Linked DNA regions of Mytilus edulis. The protein of the gene in region 1 purifies or fractionates together with the protein of each later gene. This does not show direct contact. Links are inferred from orthologs where the notes say so. Each region holds a gene or a part of one and is shown on either strand. Other genes may lie near its edges.

What was found.
Region 2: the proteins of B-cell receptor-associated protein 31-like (region 1) and cytochrome b5-like purify together in Homo sapiens (co-immunoprecipitation; 4 studies listed by BioGRID and IntAct, with this or other methods). This does not show direct contact. The link is inferred for Mytilus edulis from reciprocal best matches to the Homo sapiens genes BCAP31 and CYB5A.

Annotation. Positions count from the first base shown.
Region 1 is NC_092344.1:77,903,937-77,913,105, reverse strand, and holds the start of B-cell receptor-associated protein 31-like, read right to left. Parts: upstream 3,876-9,169; 5' UTR 3,649-3,875; intron 1,472-3,648; exon of another isoform or gene 1,470-1,471; coding exon of another isoform or gene 1,375-1,469; intron 569-1,374; 5' UTR 561-568; coding exon 466-560; intron 1-465. Other genes in the region: dynein regulatory complex protein 11-like, read left to right, coding at 3,966-3,976, 7,553-7,643, 8,147-8,383, 8,942-9,061. UniProt on the Homo sapiens protein: Functions as a chaperone protein. Is one of the most abundant endoplasmic reticulum (ER) proteins.
Region 2 is NC_092348.1:64,360,838-64,369,605, reverse strand, and holds the start of cytochrome b5-like, read right to left. Parts: upstream 3,840-8,768; 5' UTR 3,781-3,839; coding exon 3,673-3,780; intron 37-3,672; coding exon 1-36. Other genes in the region: cytosolic iron-sulfur assembly component 2B-like, read left to right, coding at 3,903-4,026, 5,300-5,379, 6,198-6,323, 6,829-6,874, 8,116-8,225.

The DNA.
Region 1 (9,169 bases):
ATCCTGTTTTATACATTTGACATTGTTTGATTTGCACTTTCTTACTCAAATCAGAATTGTGGATACATGAACCAATATATGATGACAGTTGTTTTATATAGATATATACACCTTTAATTAGATTAATGTCTGTGTAAATGATAATTCATGAACATGATGCAATGTTAGTTATCTAATTTTGCTTAAAGCATCATTGACTCCTTTAAAACTAATGTGGTTTTCAATGAGTTTCTACAGTATATTTTTTAATAATTTTAAATTGATTTTTAATAAAATCAAGAATGGAAATGGGGAATATGTCAAAGAGGACAACAACCAAACCAAAGAGTAAAAAAACAAACAGCCAATGGTTCTTCAACACAGCAACAGATTAATTTTTACCAGATTAAAAGGCCACATGGGTTTTGTAGAAGTCAATATGTACAGTAGCTGCCACTAATGAATGCTGTAAAGATCAGTGCTTACCTAGATGGAGAAATATATGGTATCAATAAAATTACCGATACAAATATTTCAAGATACATAAACCCCGAAATGGAAGTCCATATTATACCAGTCATTGTTAAATCTGTACAGGAAGAAAACTAAAGGTCATAATGCAGGACAATAATAATCCATTTCATTCATTGTTAGAAATTATTTGTACCAAATTCTTTCACAAGAGTGCTACTAAAAAAATGCATAGGACATGATTTGTGTTTAAATTTCAGATAATAAGCCAAATTATATAATAGCTGCACATTTATATTAATTACTATAATTACTAGAAAATATTTTTCATGTTCATACATGTACATGTCATATAATTGCTGCATATTTATTAATTACTATAATACTAGAAAAACAGTTTTGAGTTCAAATACAATATTTTAAAAAAGCTCAATTATTTTCTTTTTAAAGCTATTCTATAATGAAAAAAATTGTAGTACAATATTAATTTCCAACTCATAAATTATAAATAAATGCACTCTATCAAATCTAAAAGATGATTATAATGATGTCAAATTTTCATGACATGTTTATTGTTCTGATCTCAAAATTTCTGTACATAGAAAACAACTAGAAAATCAACAAATGTTTTTTAAACAACTTAACAAGTTGCCTTTTTTTAATTTTGGTATTTGACAGCCTATAGCTCATTTTAGCTAGCATGGCTAGATTGACAAATAACTATGCACAATTCTTTTTCTTTTTAATAAAGCTTAGTTTGAGATATTCATATCATGAAAAAATTACAAAATGGTTTTATATATGACTGTATGGAAAAGTTAAGCAAATACCATTCAAAAGTGAATTTTCTTGAGAATAGCATTTTGCATGCAAACTGAACTTTTTGCATGTGAAAGCTACGGAATACACATCTGACACTCTTACCTTTGTGCTGATACAAATGGTAACATAAGTATAACAGCTATTGTTATTTCAACATATAGATACCCAGCTATACCTGACCACAGTATTCCAACCATGGCTGTAATAAAACTATTTCTTTTTTACAATTGTATATATACATATATACATATATATAACTGATTTTATTAGCTGAACATCTGAAACATCATGAACATAAACAATAAATGTCGTTATTTTTAATTATATATGTTGTATAATTGTTTAGCGGAAGTTTTTTCCCTTTCTAACATGTGTTTACAGATTTGATTTTTGGTGTTTTAACGCCACTTTTGAGCACCACATTTAGGCTACTTCGTGGCAGCCATTTTTCATTAGTGGAGGAAGCCAGAGTGCCTAGAGAAAACCATTGACCTGCAATAGGAAAACTGACAATCCTACTCAATTAAGATTGGAGTCCAGGGCACCCGAAAGAGCAGGGTTCAAGCTCACAACCTCAGTGTCGAATGGCTAGTGATTACAGTAGTAACAACTTAGACCACTCGGTCACCAAGGCCCCTGTATGTTTACTGTAATCAGCATGATCAGTGTATCCGTAACTCTGTCTGACCAACTTATTGTCTGACAAAATTTCATTTATTCACATAGAAATTTTTAGTTTTTTCTAGTTGAAAATATAGAAGAAAAGGTCAAATTTCTTTTTCGGTCAGTCAAACTTTAATACAGTTTGGAACAGACTGTGCAATTGTGTCATGTATGCAGACATAGTCATGATAGTTTATAATATTAAAATTATCAAAAAGTGTAACCAATCTGATTATAAAGGGCATATGATTCAGTTTTGATCCCATTTTGAAATTTTGATGAAAAATTGCATATAGGCTATTTTTAACCTGATTAAATCAAATATGTAATAAAATATATATACCTTCATGTGCTACTTTTTGAGTAAAATGAGGTTGAAATTTCAGATATTAGCACAAAATTCAGATTTGTGGACGTATTTTTCCTTTTGAACATGTTGAAAGAAATCCATAACTTTTTTTATTTTAAAAGATAAACACAAGCTGTTTTTTGTTAAATTATCTGTAAGTTCTGTTTTATATAAATGTTCTTTATATTAATGCATTTATATTATACAAATAACACATACAAAATGACATATTTATCAAATATTCATGAATGTAGAAAAAAACTCAGTTTTTGCTGTATATTTATCAAATTTAAAAAATTTGCAATATTGACACTCTCTTGAAATTGGTAAAAATAATCTTCATTTGTAAGGAAACCAAATGTCTTTTAACAAAAGAGGTGTCCATGAACTCGTTTTCAAATTAAATCAGTTTGAATGATGAAAATCAGTCAAAAAATGCATCTTTTCTATGATATGTCAGTCTGATGTCGCAAAAATAACATTTCACATTTAACCTCCCTGTTATACACCTTATCACTAATCCTGGCTGACCCGGCCGCTTGAACTTTTGAAGCATACAACAATCACTTTTCCATTGTGGCATCAGATATTTTGTTTTATGACGTCAAAATTTTACGGCAACCTGTGTGATTTTCAGTAATGACAGACAAATAGCGATAAGGTGTATTTTATCATATGCCCTTAAACAAGCAATTTTATTAACAAGAATATATGAGGGTGGTAAAGGGTTATTTTCGTGCAACGTGATCGCCGTTTTTTATTTCACGTTCAACGTGTTTTTACTTTTTTATTTGACGTTCAGTCGTGCAAGACGGGTGCCTCGTTCAACGTGTTCTGCTTATTTAATTTTACGTGCATCGTGATTTTCAAAGTCTTATTTTGCGTGCTCGGTATTTTTCAAATAAAATTCAAACACTTGGCAGGGATCTTCAAGAAATACTTTTTTAAACGCCGTAAACCAATTATAACATTAATGTGTATACTAAATTGGGAAAATCAAGTAAAACAAAGAGTTAATATATACAAGAAGACAGTGATTCAGTCATAAAAGGTTCACATAAAAGTATTTATTTTTCGTGCAACGTTCATTACAGAAATTATTTCACGTTTTTCTCGTGCAAGCTACCCCCCTTTACCACCCTCATATATGTATATGAACATGATGAATGCTGTTATAAATTTTTTTTAATGAAAGGGGTCTACGTGAATGGTGGCAAACCAAGTTTCAGATTGGAGAATCTACATTCAAAAGTAAGACCATTTCGTGAAGGAGAAAAATAGATTAAATTTTGAATGAATGTCGAAAAGAGGTTTTGCCTTCCTGTTTCATATTGGCTTATTGACTTTTTCTAATGTGTACCGACCTGTTGATTTTTCAGTTTCCCTATGTACTTTTTGTGTTTCTAGGTTTATTTCACGATGACTCTAAACACAAACCTTTACTATATCTTAAATTATGAAGATAAAAAAAGTTGCAATATTCTCGAAAGTGACCTTCTTAGTCATTAAATGTCTTGTAAGCTATCGTTAATATCAGTTGCTAAAAACGATAATTTGACTAAGATCGATGACAATTCATAATCTCGGCAAGGATTTGTAAGCGAGATTTAAACGTTGTTATAGAAACACAAACATCATGGCGTAAAATTTGTAATCTGCATTATTTTCTGTTAGTTTGAGGATGTCTCACAGGTTTGTTTATCCACTTAATTCTTAATTCTATGAATATTTGAATTTTACAAGTCAGTAATTGCTTTGAAATACCAAAGCATCGCATGTTTTACCATTGGCAAGGGTTTTGATTGCACTTAATTAATTTTTCAAGTTGATCATAAAAACATTTGTCTGTTTGTTGATAAAATGTTGGGACCTCTCAAGTAAAAGAACTCTTGAAAGCCATGCAAATTGCTTGTTTCTTGTACTCCTATAATTTTTAATTTTGGAAGTAACACATCTTCTGACGTGGGTGATATTTAATGTCAACGTTTTTATAGTCGCCGTCAGCTGAAATTCGTAGTGGTTATCGGTAAAAATAATCTAAACTATCAAATGGGTTCACTCGAGATATAGTTTTTCACATTCCATTCATAAATCACAAAAAGAAAAACCACTACCATGACTACTGACCTACCTTTTAAGTGATCACACTGTAATAATCCTGACCTTCACATTTTCCAGAATGTTTTCTATTGTAATTCCGCCATCTTCGTTTCTATGAGGATCATTTGTTTACATATGACATTCGTCACTTGGCTCAATATCTTTAATTGTTTTTACATAGGCGGTAATGGTAACGTTTTTTCCTGTAGCTCAGTCCATATTGTAAACTTGGATATGTATGATAGCTCGTTACGAAGCTGTGACATTTTCACATATGTGGTTAAATTTTTCGGGGTACGAAGTGAGATTACATGTACTTTTTCCGTAAATTAGCAAACCCCGAACATCCTTTTGTGATGCGGCTCCTTGTGGTAAAATATCCCCTTTTTAACACAATAAGTTCTTTGAAAATTTAATACTTTGAACACATTCAATAGCTCCATAGTTTTTACACATTTATTTCTATGTTCCTCTACTTTCCTTATCACCACAAATAATTAAGTTCAGTCATTTGTTAAAAATAGAAACATGTCCATTACCAATATTACTACACAGAGATTTTTTCTTTACACGTGACTTTTGTCAAATACACCTTATCGCTTTTTGTCGGTATCAGGTCCGTTTGCACCCAATACACTTTCGCATCTCACATTTTCGCTAAATTTATTCTTCTTGTCGCTAATTAATTTAGTGAGACCTCTGAATATTTAAGTGCTGTATTTTTTCTTTAGAATGGTGCATGATAGGATGAGCCTAAGGAGGGTCGCGGGTACAAATGTATTTATAAGATTTTCAGAAAAAAATGAAACATTTAATTTTCTTTACAAATTTTATTAAATATCTTAAGTAGTTGTTACTTTATCATATGGTTCAAAAATTATTCCAAAAAATCAATTCCTGTTGGCCCAAGGCGACTTTTAAAATGTAGTTATCATTGAAAAAGCTCCAAATTATCTCCTTTTTGGTGCAAAAATGCCATTTTTTGGCATTAAAAATGAAATATCTTTTTTAACTCATCGGTGACCTATATTTTTTATTGTTGTTTTCGAATAAGCTGTACATAAACTAAATAATTGTAAAATTTAAGGCATTTCTGTAATTTAGTTCTTTTTTTATTTCGATATTACCGCTATTTCTCCTATTAGTTCAACAGAAAAAAAGGACATTTACAAAAATGTATGTTTCTTTCGAAGGCATTGTGAGCGTAAATGAATGTGACCCCAAAATATAGCGAAATCCTATATTAAATAAAAAAATTGATTTAGACCCGCTAGCCCCCTTAAACTTAAGTTCTTTACTGTTGATATTTATGATGTTTGTTTTGAATAATTGTAAGAATGTATGATATAAGGACAAATAAAATATATGAAATATATGATATAAGGACGAATAAAATATATGAAACTAACGCAATAAATAAATGCCCTGGATTGCAATTGATTTAAGATGTATTCAACAACCACACAAAAAAAAAACGATGTCAGAATCTCACTTTATTCATAAACAAAATATTTCAAGCCATACACTATCCAAAACATGATTAAGATTTTATAAACACATACAGAACGTTGTCATAATCTCACTTTATTTAGAAACATTAAGAATTATTCAACACAAAATTGAAATACTTGTTGCCAGAATCACAGAATCACACTTTAATTAAAACAATGATTTTTTTTTTTCATACATGTAGCAATAAACTTACCATGATACAAAAAAAAACTTGTCAGAATCTCAAATTATTAAGAAGCAATGACATATATATTTATATCAATACACCTTCCAAAACTCAGTAAAATTGGGCGTGAACAGACTGGGTGCAAACATGTGGGGTGCGAAAGTGAAAGGGGGCGCATGTGAATTGGTGCGAATGTGATTGGGTGCGAACGGACCCGGATTCCTATTTGTCCACCATTACTAGACGTCTCAAAAGTTGTCATAATAGAAAAATTTTGAAGCTACAATGGAAAAGGGATTGTTGTATGACGTTGAAAATTAAAGTGGGACAGATTCCCGGGTCAAGTGGGAATAGCAGTATTTAGATGTATTGTTCCAGGACTGCAGACCTTAACTTTACTGAGGATTAACAACGTTACATGTGATCAATCATAAACATTTTTATTTGTACCATTACTGCGCCATTAGCAGATGAATTTTTTTTATTGTATTGAAAGATTGGCCATGTTGGCACAAGACTTGATTATTCTGATATATATTAAGTACAGTGAAACCTGGGTAAACCGAACCCCGATAAAACCGAATTTCAGTTGAAACCGAACAATGTTCAAAGTCCCACAAAATTTCCCTATCAATTAACGTTAATTTAACCTGAAAAAAACGAACCCTGTCAACACCGAATTCCGAACGCTTTTTGAAGGCTCGTTAGTAAATTTGTATCTAAAAATTACCTGTCAAAATCGATCAATACCAATAAAAACAATAAACATTATTAATTATTTGCATGATTTAATTAAACAAACACGGAATGGCAGAGTATCCCCGAAGGTATTTGAGGTTTAATGAACTTGTGAGTTGTTATTACAAACTAATTAGCATGTCTGTGTTCATGTATAAAGTGATTTTTTTGTAAAGATACGTTAAACTGGTCAGCTACCCCATCGATCAAAAACAAAAATGTAGCAAAACGTCTATCTTCATCTTCTTTTATTTTTACATTTACATCTAAATCAACACAAGAATAAACTGTTGTCTATTGTGTCACCTATTATCCCTGGTTAGTAAATGCCAAAATTATTTTGGTGTCGACTTCCGTTTACCTCTATAATCTGAACACCTGTGAAAACCGAACAAAACGCAAAGTCCTGAGGGTGTTCGGTTTGGACAGGTTTCACTGTATATTAAATTGTTCCAGGAATTAAGATTTTATAAATGTCACTATGAACATGATGAATAACTGTCAAAACATGTCTATTTAATATAACAGGTCTGACTGTGTAACCTGTAAAGGGTTCATAGAATTCTAATTAAATTTATACCTTAAAGCACTGAAATAAGATTCTATGTCAGCTTAGACATACTGAGATCTGAACTGTTGGTTGACAGGTAATTACACTTATATATATATATATATATATATATATATATATATATATATATATGTACAAGCAATGTTATGTAGACTGTGTATTTTTTCTTTTTCTTTCTTAGCACCTACAACAAACAATGGGGAGAGGGACAATCAGCCTTGCAGGATCTCCTGCAACAGGAAATCCCAGAAGAGCCACCAAAACCAGAAAAGGTTTGTACTACATATCATCCTAACATTCATATTGCATAAACAGAAACTGTAATACATAAATAAACCAACTAATTGAGGTGGGTGAATTTTTTTGTGTGTGATTTTTCAAAGCTGAAAAAAAGTAATTCAATGTATGTTAAACTTGTATCTTTCCTCATGTTCCTTGAATGTAAATTATATCATTTTGAAAATCATGAAATTAAATCATGCATTTGGTTAGAAAGTATTTATATTTTCCAAATAAATCCATACAAATAGGAAAATAAAAAGTTGAATATTTTTCTATATTTTATATACCATGTATACAGTTTATTGGTACAATTTTGGAGGAAGGCAATATTTTAGTCCTAAACAACATACAGTCACAGTCATAATGCATTTTCTTGTTATCAGACCTTGTATGCTATGTTGACCTTTGACTTGTTTACCACTTTTGATGACATACTCTATTAAAAAAAATATTACAAGTTAGTTATACAATGCATATTACAATTTTATTTTAGGATCGTTTGGCAGCATTCCAGTTGCTAGCCACCATGTATATAAAATATATACAAATATTCCGTAAATTAGAGCAGTCATATGATCAGATTGTCCACCCACAGAAAAGAAGAGTTTTACGTCATGTTCTGGATGGAGCTATGGGGAGAATTTTAGAACTGAAACATGAAATGGTCAACCTTGAGTTCTCAGAATACCACTACTTTGATGATGTCTTATCAGATTTAAAGTTGACACCAGTATGTACAACTATCTCATAAATGGTTAAAAAGATAAATAAAGATCCAAATAGATATAAGAAGATGTGGTATCATTGCCCATGAGAAAACTCTTCATCCAAGTCACAATTCATTAAAGTAAACCATTAAAGGTGACTGGTAAAAGTACGGTCTTCAACACAGAGCCATGGCTCACACTGAACAGCAAGCGATAAACAGCCTGAAAAATTACTAGTGTAAAATCATTCAAACTGGAAAACCAACAGACTGATCTATATGAATAAGGAGAAACACTTATGAATCACACCAACAAACGACAACTAATGAACATCAGATTCCATATGTATTGTTTGCCTATCAATTTTAAGAAATTTTCCAAATTATTTCTCTTTTTGATTTTAACAGTTGATAGAGCATTTAAATAAACAAAATTCTCTAATTTCAGATGAAAGTTTTAATGAATATGTGTTTGATTGTTCTACAGATTTAAAATATTTTGTCTGTAAAAGTCCACTTGATTTGTAAAAAGGGTATACACATATTAGCAGACAGAAATTAATTATGAGGTTTTTTTTCCAGAATGATGTAGAAATACCAATTCCAAAGTATTTTATCTATGAAAGAATGGAAGCTTTACAGAAAAGGGAGAAAACTCTTGGTCAGATACTTGCCAAAATGGGACCACAAGACAAAGATGATGTTAGTTCTTTAAATTTGGTTACCTTACAAGAATAAGGAAAAATACTTTTTTAAATATATATATAATTACACTTCAAACTTTCCTATTTATCAAATATTGTATAAAAC
Region 2 (8,768 bases), on another chromosome or scaffold:
TGATTGCTCTAATAATACTTCTTCTCCACCAGGATGCTGAAATACAGGAAACTAATATTAAAATCATATTTATTTATTTACGATTGTGGTTACTCATTAAAATAACAAATTACATGAATAGAGAGTATATTATCCCAAGTACACTCATCACTTTCAAAATTGAGAATGGAAATGGGGAATATGCCATAGAGACAACAACCGGACAAAACAGCAGATAACAGCCAAAGGCCACCGATGGGTCTTCAATGCAGCAAGAAAATTCCAAATCAAGAGGTAGGCATCATCTAAATAAAAATCTGTACTAGTTCAGTGAAAATGGACGTAATACAAAACTCCAAAACATTTAAATGAACTAAAATGAAACCAGATGCTCTGCAGGGTGCAGCTTTATACGACCGCAGAGGTCGAACCCTGAACAGTTGGGGCAAGTATGAACAGTTGGACACAACATTTAAGCTTGATACAGCTCTGAATTTGGATTGTGATTAAATAGTTGACACAACATGGGTTTCTGACACAGAATGAATGTGGTCTAAGAACTTAAACTTAATCAAAGTGATGGAAATCACTCATGGAAAGATTAGAAGAGTAGTTTGAATAATTTCATATTAAGGTATGGTGAGGGAAAATGATCATTAATAAAGCACTATTGGAGAAAATTGCATTTACAGCAGGTCTTTAGAAGGAGAAGAGTTTTTCCAGTATGAGGATAAAATGAGCTCAAATTAAATAATACGGCTCTCTTAACTTGCACAATTTTATTTAAACTGCAGTTTATATCTTATCCAAATAATGTTGCCTGTGCTGAACATAAAATCGAGACCAACAGCTAAGAACATTAAAGTGTCAACAAAAATAATCTAAAAATGTTGTTTTGTGAAACATAGGTTATATGACATTGAAAGATTAAAAGTCGTAGAGTGTCTCAATATTTAAAGTATTTTTCAACACAGGGCATTGAAAATGTACTTTTTCAATGTAAACAAATTAAAAAAACTTTTTTTTATTGAAATGTGGATTGATGGGGAATAAACTAATAATTAAATAAACAATGGTTTGTTATAATTAAAAGTTTTAAAATTTTAAAACTGTTTCAAGCCAAATCCTGATAAAAAAAATTAGGGAACCAATCTAAATTGTTGATTAATTACAGTCTACAGATGTTTATTGGAAATTCATTAAGAAAATTATAGGCCTTACTTGAATATCTTATATATATATATATATATATATTCATATTCATATTTCATTTTTTTTTTTATAAGATCTTGTTATTCCATTATTTATCTTTCAGACATAATTTACAGAATCACTTTATGTAATCACAGGGATCTCCATGGATGAAAATTGAACGATGGAGGAACTTTCACCATTACAAACCGTGACTACGCTGTAAAGTGTAGCGCGATCGGAAGTATTTTATTCTTCCATACAGGGAATGGTGAACATGCTAATTCAATTGCTTATTTAAATTATATTTATTTGAATTTTCATTATAGAATTAGAAGTATCAATATTTTCATTTATTGCCGTTTTTAATCATTCAAATGCCAAGTCTTCATGGTCCCCCCTTAGTTGAGAATGACCAAAAGCTGTCATGGAGGTCCCCATGTAGATTTTTTGTATTTTTGGTAATTGTTATGGGGGTTAAAAATCATATGATGTGGAGCTTATTTTTCATGGACACTGTCAAATTCAGAACCCATTACCGGTATGGCTGATTTGCAGCAACAACAAAACGATTCGTACGGGTTATGTAAAAGGTTAAAGAGATTTATAAAGCAAATGTTGACAAATGAAAAGGTTTTTAATGACTTTATCTTGCAAATTGATGCTGTGCAACATGCCGCATCTTTCGAGTCTAAAAAAGTAACCGGAAACGCGGATGTATCAATTTGATTGTAATATACGAAATGAATTCGGAATTACGATACGATATTTCTTTACAGGAAATATTTAAATTTTTACTTTTAAACTTTTAAAGTAATTCTAAATTATCGTTACAGTAGTACTCAAGTTATTTGCGATGAAATAATATTTACTGTTTTGCGTCTTATTTTGTACTTCTTTAAAAAGGAGGATGCTGATTGCGTAAGTCAAAATAAAGCATGTGTTCGACTTGTTCAACTGTTTTCTTTGTAACTGGATTATTTATTAATTTAATCTAAATTATCATAATCATTTGCTGAAACTTATTTGGTTAATTCGACAAATGGATCGTCTATCCTCAGATAGTATTCTCCTGTCTGGTTTGTTGATCTACCTGTACAAGCTCAGGTACAAGTGATTAGCGATCTTAATCCGGATACCCCCCAGGCGTTAGAACTGTATTGGATTATAACATAAAAAGCCTAAGGGTTATGCAATGACATGCATTTGATTATAATTGATAAAAAAAATGGCGTCGGGCTACAAAAAAACGATGAAGTTTTGAACGATGGCGGAAGACAATTTAACGATGGCGCAAGACAATTTAACGATGGAGCAAGTCATTTGACGATGGCGCAAGACATTTGAACGATGGCGGGGCGCCATCGTTAAACAGGCCATGGAGATCCCTGATAATCATAATGTAGATAAAAAGAAATAGGAAATAATAAATGTATCAAACATCTAATATACACATTTGTGTATTCAATTATGAGGTCAAATATTTGTATATTGAGTTGCATATATATTAGAGTATAATTATGTAACACAGATGTTGAAAGGTAATGTGGTCAATTTGATTGACAGTTTAGGAGGTGGGGCATTATAATTAAAGGTCTACCTTGTCTCTTATTGTTTGTTGATAATGCCAGTTGTCAATCATATGAGTATTGTATCAATACTCAATAACCTAATCAAAATGTTTTAAAATAAGCCTGCACATCAACAAACTTTAATGATATACATTCTTAAATGAACTGCTCCAAAAATATACCCATTTTTTTCAGTTTATATGTGTATTATGTGCACATACATGAGAACTATAGGGAACTATATTTCAGTGTGAAAACATTTAGTAAAGGTAGCTAACCTGTAGTGTTGTTAGGGAGGCCAGTGCCTTTAGAGTAAAGATTTAAAACAAGTTCTTATCTTTCCAAAAAAATTTAAATTAGACATTTACCTATTTATGGTCCAATATCCAAAATCTAAATACATGGTTAGATTCAGCATAACATAGAACCCCAAGAATTCAATGTTCAATTTTAGACCCTTTATTTCGTTATCAAGCACCGGTAAGGGGAGTCTAAACATTTTGTTGATTTTTGTTTTAATTTTTATTTTGTTAACATCAAAATTGGGACATAGTAAATGGGACCAAGAACTTTACAGGAAAATATAGCTATTTTAACTTAGAATTAAATTGTGAAAGATTTGTTTAAGTGTGTTGAGTATGATGTCATATGGTACTTGTATATAAAGGTTAAAATGTGGATTGATACAGAACTGCAGTTTTACCCATTCATAAATTATACACAGGAATATTATAGTACAATAAAATTTACATTTTAATATAAAATTATTATCATGTATTAGCTTTGAACATGCCGAATGATGAATTTCTTTCATTTGTCCATAATTTATCCTTTCAATTTTTGTTTCGTACGTCCTACATCTTGACCTTTATGATTATGTGTCCCAATGTGAATGTCAAGTCTTTAAAACCATCTGCCCATCATAACTTACCTCTTCAAGAAACTTTGAAACATCATAAACATTATCATGAATGATCATAAGAGTCTTTGTTTTATCAGTGTTGTTCTTTACGTCGGCTTCTCTGAAAACTTTCGTCATTTTGCAAAAGTCGAGATTTCGTGAATGTCCCGGAAATGAAAGAAAACTTATAAAATTCGAAACGGACGAACAGAGTTACTCCCCTTAATATTTTTCCGGATTAGCATGAAATTCACTTCAAAATGTCCCAAAATGATTTAGACAATGCAAATCCTACAATATACGAAGTTGGTTCTGAGAGACCGGTCTTACCAGAGGAAGAAGATGAAAGTGTTACAGACAAAATAGATACAAGAGAAGTTTTTGGTAAGATAAACTAAATAATACGACAGCTGACTAAATCAGAACCATGTCATGGGTACCACTTGCTAAAGCTGCAACTTTAGTAAACATTTAAATTAAAACTGTATTGCCAGGTCTGTCTTGTCACCCTTATAAAACACACAGGCACTCGTCTCAGATTTTTTTTTCTAAAGGTATATAGGATTTTTTTTTTGAGACGAGTGCCTGTGCTTAAACACTGCATAATATTGCCTAGGCCAATTAAATGATTATGACGTCTTGAAAGGCCATTATAATTTTTTTCTTTGACTCCTAACTTCGACATATTGCCTTACACATCAAAAACACTACCAACCCCTATCATGCCATTACAATACAAAATATCTCAATAGACCACTTTCTACTTCCAGTTATGTCCTTCATTGGAAAAGATTGTCAATTGATTATGTGCACCTTTATGACATCATTTACCATATATAGGATCCCATGTATCTCTGCTCTATCTAAATTCATCAAGCGTCTTTATAATTGTCATTTTGCCGCATAAACCGGAAATAAAGTTTGTTCCGTAATACTATTATCACAATTCCCTGAATACAGAATAAATTGTGCAATACATCAGCATATTTTTTTCAACCTCTTCCTCAACATATAATTTGGTAGGAAGTGACAATGCCTCTTAACTATCTAATGATGTTCCAATTGCAAGCACTGAGATATTGTATCTATTGGGAGATATATAGGCTCATCATATGATTATCATGCTCCACAGATATATGGAAAGGTCACTATGGGAAAATGTAAATCATCTCTTTTGTTATACTTTGTTGTAGTTTAGGTTTAAGTTTCACAACTATACACATTCACTATCATGATTATAGTCGCTAAAGCAATTGTAAAACCCATGAAATCAATCCATGACAGTTGATGCCTTTGAAAGCATAAAGATATATATTTATAAATTACTTTCTTGATCAACTTCTAATAGTTGACAATACTTCACCATTTGAATGGTTTAACACTAGTCATATTTGAGGCCCTTTAAAGCTTGTCATTCATTGTGAGCGAAAGTTCTGTGTTGAAGACCGTTCTTTGACCTATAATGGTTTACTTTTACAAATTGTGACTTGGATGGACAGTGATCTCATTGGCACTGATACCACAGCTTCTTATATCTATTCACATATTGAGCCAGGGGGCAAATTTCTAAGTCTTTATTTTTTATTTCTGATTGATACTTTAATCAATTATCTTTACCATAACTGTAGCATATAGTTAAATAATATGTTTATTTCAGATTTGATCCGTGTTATAAATGACCCTGAACATCCACTGACATTAGAGGAATTGAATGTTGTTGAGCAAAGCAAAGTTATTGTAAGTATATTACTATCAACTGAATAAAAAAGATTACTGTAAATTCAGAAATTATTGCGATGATTTTATTATTGTGAAAAATGGGACAGGGTTATAATAGCAATAATTTAAATTCGCATTTTGAAATTTTTCCTTAAATTAAACAGGATTTTTCTCAATATGGCAAAAAAATAAAATCACATTGTAGTCTAAATTGACAAAAATTGCAATAATAAATGCATGCAATAATTACTGAATTTACAGTAGATGCTAGTAATGTCATTTATTTTAATCTTACAAGCATAATGTGATGTGTTTCTGGATAACTGTCTTCTGAGCTACATTGTTCATTATTTAACCTTTTATAAAGTATCTGCTGTAAAAAAGACTCACCTTGAGTGGGAACATAAACAAATTTAAGAACTAAAAAGAAATATAGTGTATTGGCAATTGAATGTCCGTAACCCTCATTTGAATTCAAGAGATATCTAAAAGAAAATTAAAATCAGATGAAATAAAATCATAACTTCAAGATATATTTTCAAGAGACTGTTTTGAGTCTGCAAGTGGAAATAATAATTATAAATACATTACATCATTAATCATGTTAATCAGTGCTTGATTTCCCATATTGGATGTTTTCAGACAAGTCGCAGGAAAAATCTCAAAAGAGCTATAGTGAAATATCTAACTTTATTCAGATTGATTAAATTGAGAATGGAAATGGAGAATATGTCATAGAGACAACAACCCGACCAAAGAGCAGACAGCCGTGAATAGAAGTTGTACATTTCATTAGAATTATATGCACCATAATGTTATGTGAATTTTTCTTTCAGGTAGATGATGATGCTAACAAAGTGACGATAGAATTTACACCCACAATTCCACACTGTAGTATGGCAACATTGATTGGATTGTCTATTCGGGTTAAACTTCTAAGATCTCTGCCACCAAGATTCAAGGTATCAAAAATGTAACATAAAGCCACAGAAAAACATCCTTAAAAATAAAAAAACTTAATTTCAAAAAAGTTATTGGCAAGGATTTGTATAGTAAGACTATACTATACAAATCCTTGTTATTGGTAAGCTGAGGATTTTTTATTGGAGCAAGAGCATTGCAAGACCTTATATAGCATTTTTATGAGTTTCTTGTAATGTATCAATGATTTAGCTGATAGAAAAAGAAAAGTATCAGAAGTTTTTATTTGAAAATAATACACTTTGTGCTTTGGGTTCATATGAATATTTTGCTGCTCTCTTAAAAGATATTAAAGACAAAAATAATTAAAATATTAATAGCTAAACAGTATATCTCAGTTCAGGGTTTCACCTTAGCAGTCATATAAAGCTGTGCCCTGTGGAGCATCTGATTGTCATATCTGAAAAACAATGATAAATAGAAAAATTGCAAAAATTATCAACAAGATTTTCACTCCTGTCAGATCATGTAATTTTTTAATTGCAGGTAGATGTTTCAATAACACCTGGAGCACATGCATCGGAAGAAGCAGGTAACTTTGTTATAAAATGTTGATGTTAAAAATTTCTAATTTCAAATGTAAAGTATATAGACATAGGCTCACCAAGGAAATTCTAAGCATTCAGTTATTATTGTATAAATTTGTTTAATCCAGTCTTGCTGCTGCTATTCACAAGATCTTGATATTTTGGTGTGTTTGAAAAATGATGCACTAAAAGCGTTTGTTTGCTTTTATCTATTGCCAAACATTCTTAAACAAATTGAAACTTGTCACCAATATTACTGGAATCAGAAAAAAGTCAAATACCATTTTCTGTCTGAACATTTTGTTATCTACCATTTTCAATTGGAATTTTTTGTGTTCAAAGTTCTATATGTTTTAAAAGAACATATATAATAATTTTTCATCTATAATATAAATAAAATGTCTGCAGCCGGTTGTACGAACATGTAATTATACCCCCGCTTTATTATACCCCCGCTTTATTATACCCCCGCTTTAAAAAAGGGGGGGTATACTGTTTTACCTCTGTCTGTCAGTCCATCAGTCCGTCCGTCAGTCAGTCCGTCCCATGAAACTTTCGTCACATTTTTCTCAGGAACTACACATCCACCCTTTCTGTAATTTGGTATCAACATTTATATATGTGATGCGTTTTCAGATTCATCACTTGACAACTTCCTGTTTACCGAACACTTGTCTGATTTTACACATGATAGCCAAGTTGAAAATTTTCGTCACATTTTTCTCAGGAACTACAATACAAGGATTTCTGAAATTTGGTTTCAGGATTTATATAAGTCAGCTATACCGTGTGATGCGTTTTCAGTTCATCACTCGACAACTTCCTGTTTACCGAACACTTGCATATTTTTACACTATTAATATTATCCACTTGCGGCGGGGTATCATCAGTGAGCAGTAGCTCGCAGTTTCACTTGTTAAGTCTTCATTAAGCCCTTGTGATACATTAGGCTAATGAAGACTTAATGACACATTAGGCTAATAACATGTTCGTACAACTGACTGCAGTTGTTTAACTCTCTCTTTAAGTAATGAACTATTTGGGACCATTTCAATTTTGAAGTAAAAGGACCTTTCTATAAAGTCAACAGTCCCATAACAGTATAAAAAATGAACGTCATCTTCCTTTGTTATGTAGATTTAGAATCTTCATAGTAAAGACTGTTCGTCGACCTTTGACCCACACTCATTTGAACCCCTGTCGATATAAGATGGTACTTTTACAATAATTGATTTTATATTTTCAGTAAACAAACAATTAGCAGACAAAGAAAGAGTAGCTGCAGCTTTGGAGAACAGTCATTTGATAGAAGTTGTTAATCAGTGTTTGGATGACCAGAAAAGAAAACTCGGATAGAGATTTACTTTCTAATTGATTCCAAATCCATGCATTTTCATCACTTTTCAGGCCCTGGGCTCAAAACTGTTTTATAACTGTTGTTCAAGGACCATCTTTAATGCAGAATGGCTGAATGACTTTTGAATATAAATAATAACAATCAAAACAGATAGACTTGATTTACAACTGGACAACTTGCATAATGTGTAAAAGCTTGAAGAAAGCCCAGGACTTTTACTCATAGATAAAGTTTTAACACCTCCAATATAAGGCCGACTTTCTGTTTAATTGCTTGAAAAAATAATTAAGACATAATCTTTACCAATGCCTGGCTACCTCAACATTTTAAAGTAGAGAATAGCCCAAAAATGTTATTAGCCCATTTCTCTTTTGGTACAGTTATAAAAAATAGTTATACCTAAGACACGTTAATACATTTTTGGTTATTTATAATTATTATGAATATATATATAAATAAATTGATCAACAGTGACTTCATGTAGTTATTGCATTCACAAGATCACATAGTTATTATACACAAGCTCTTCATAAAAAGTCTAT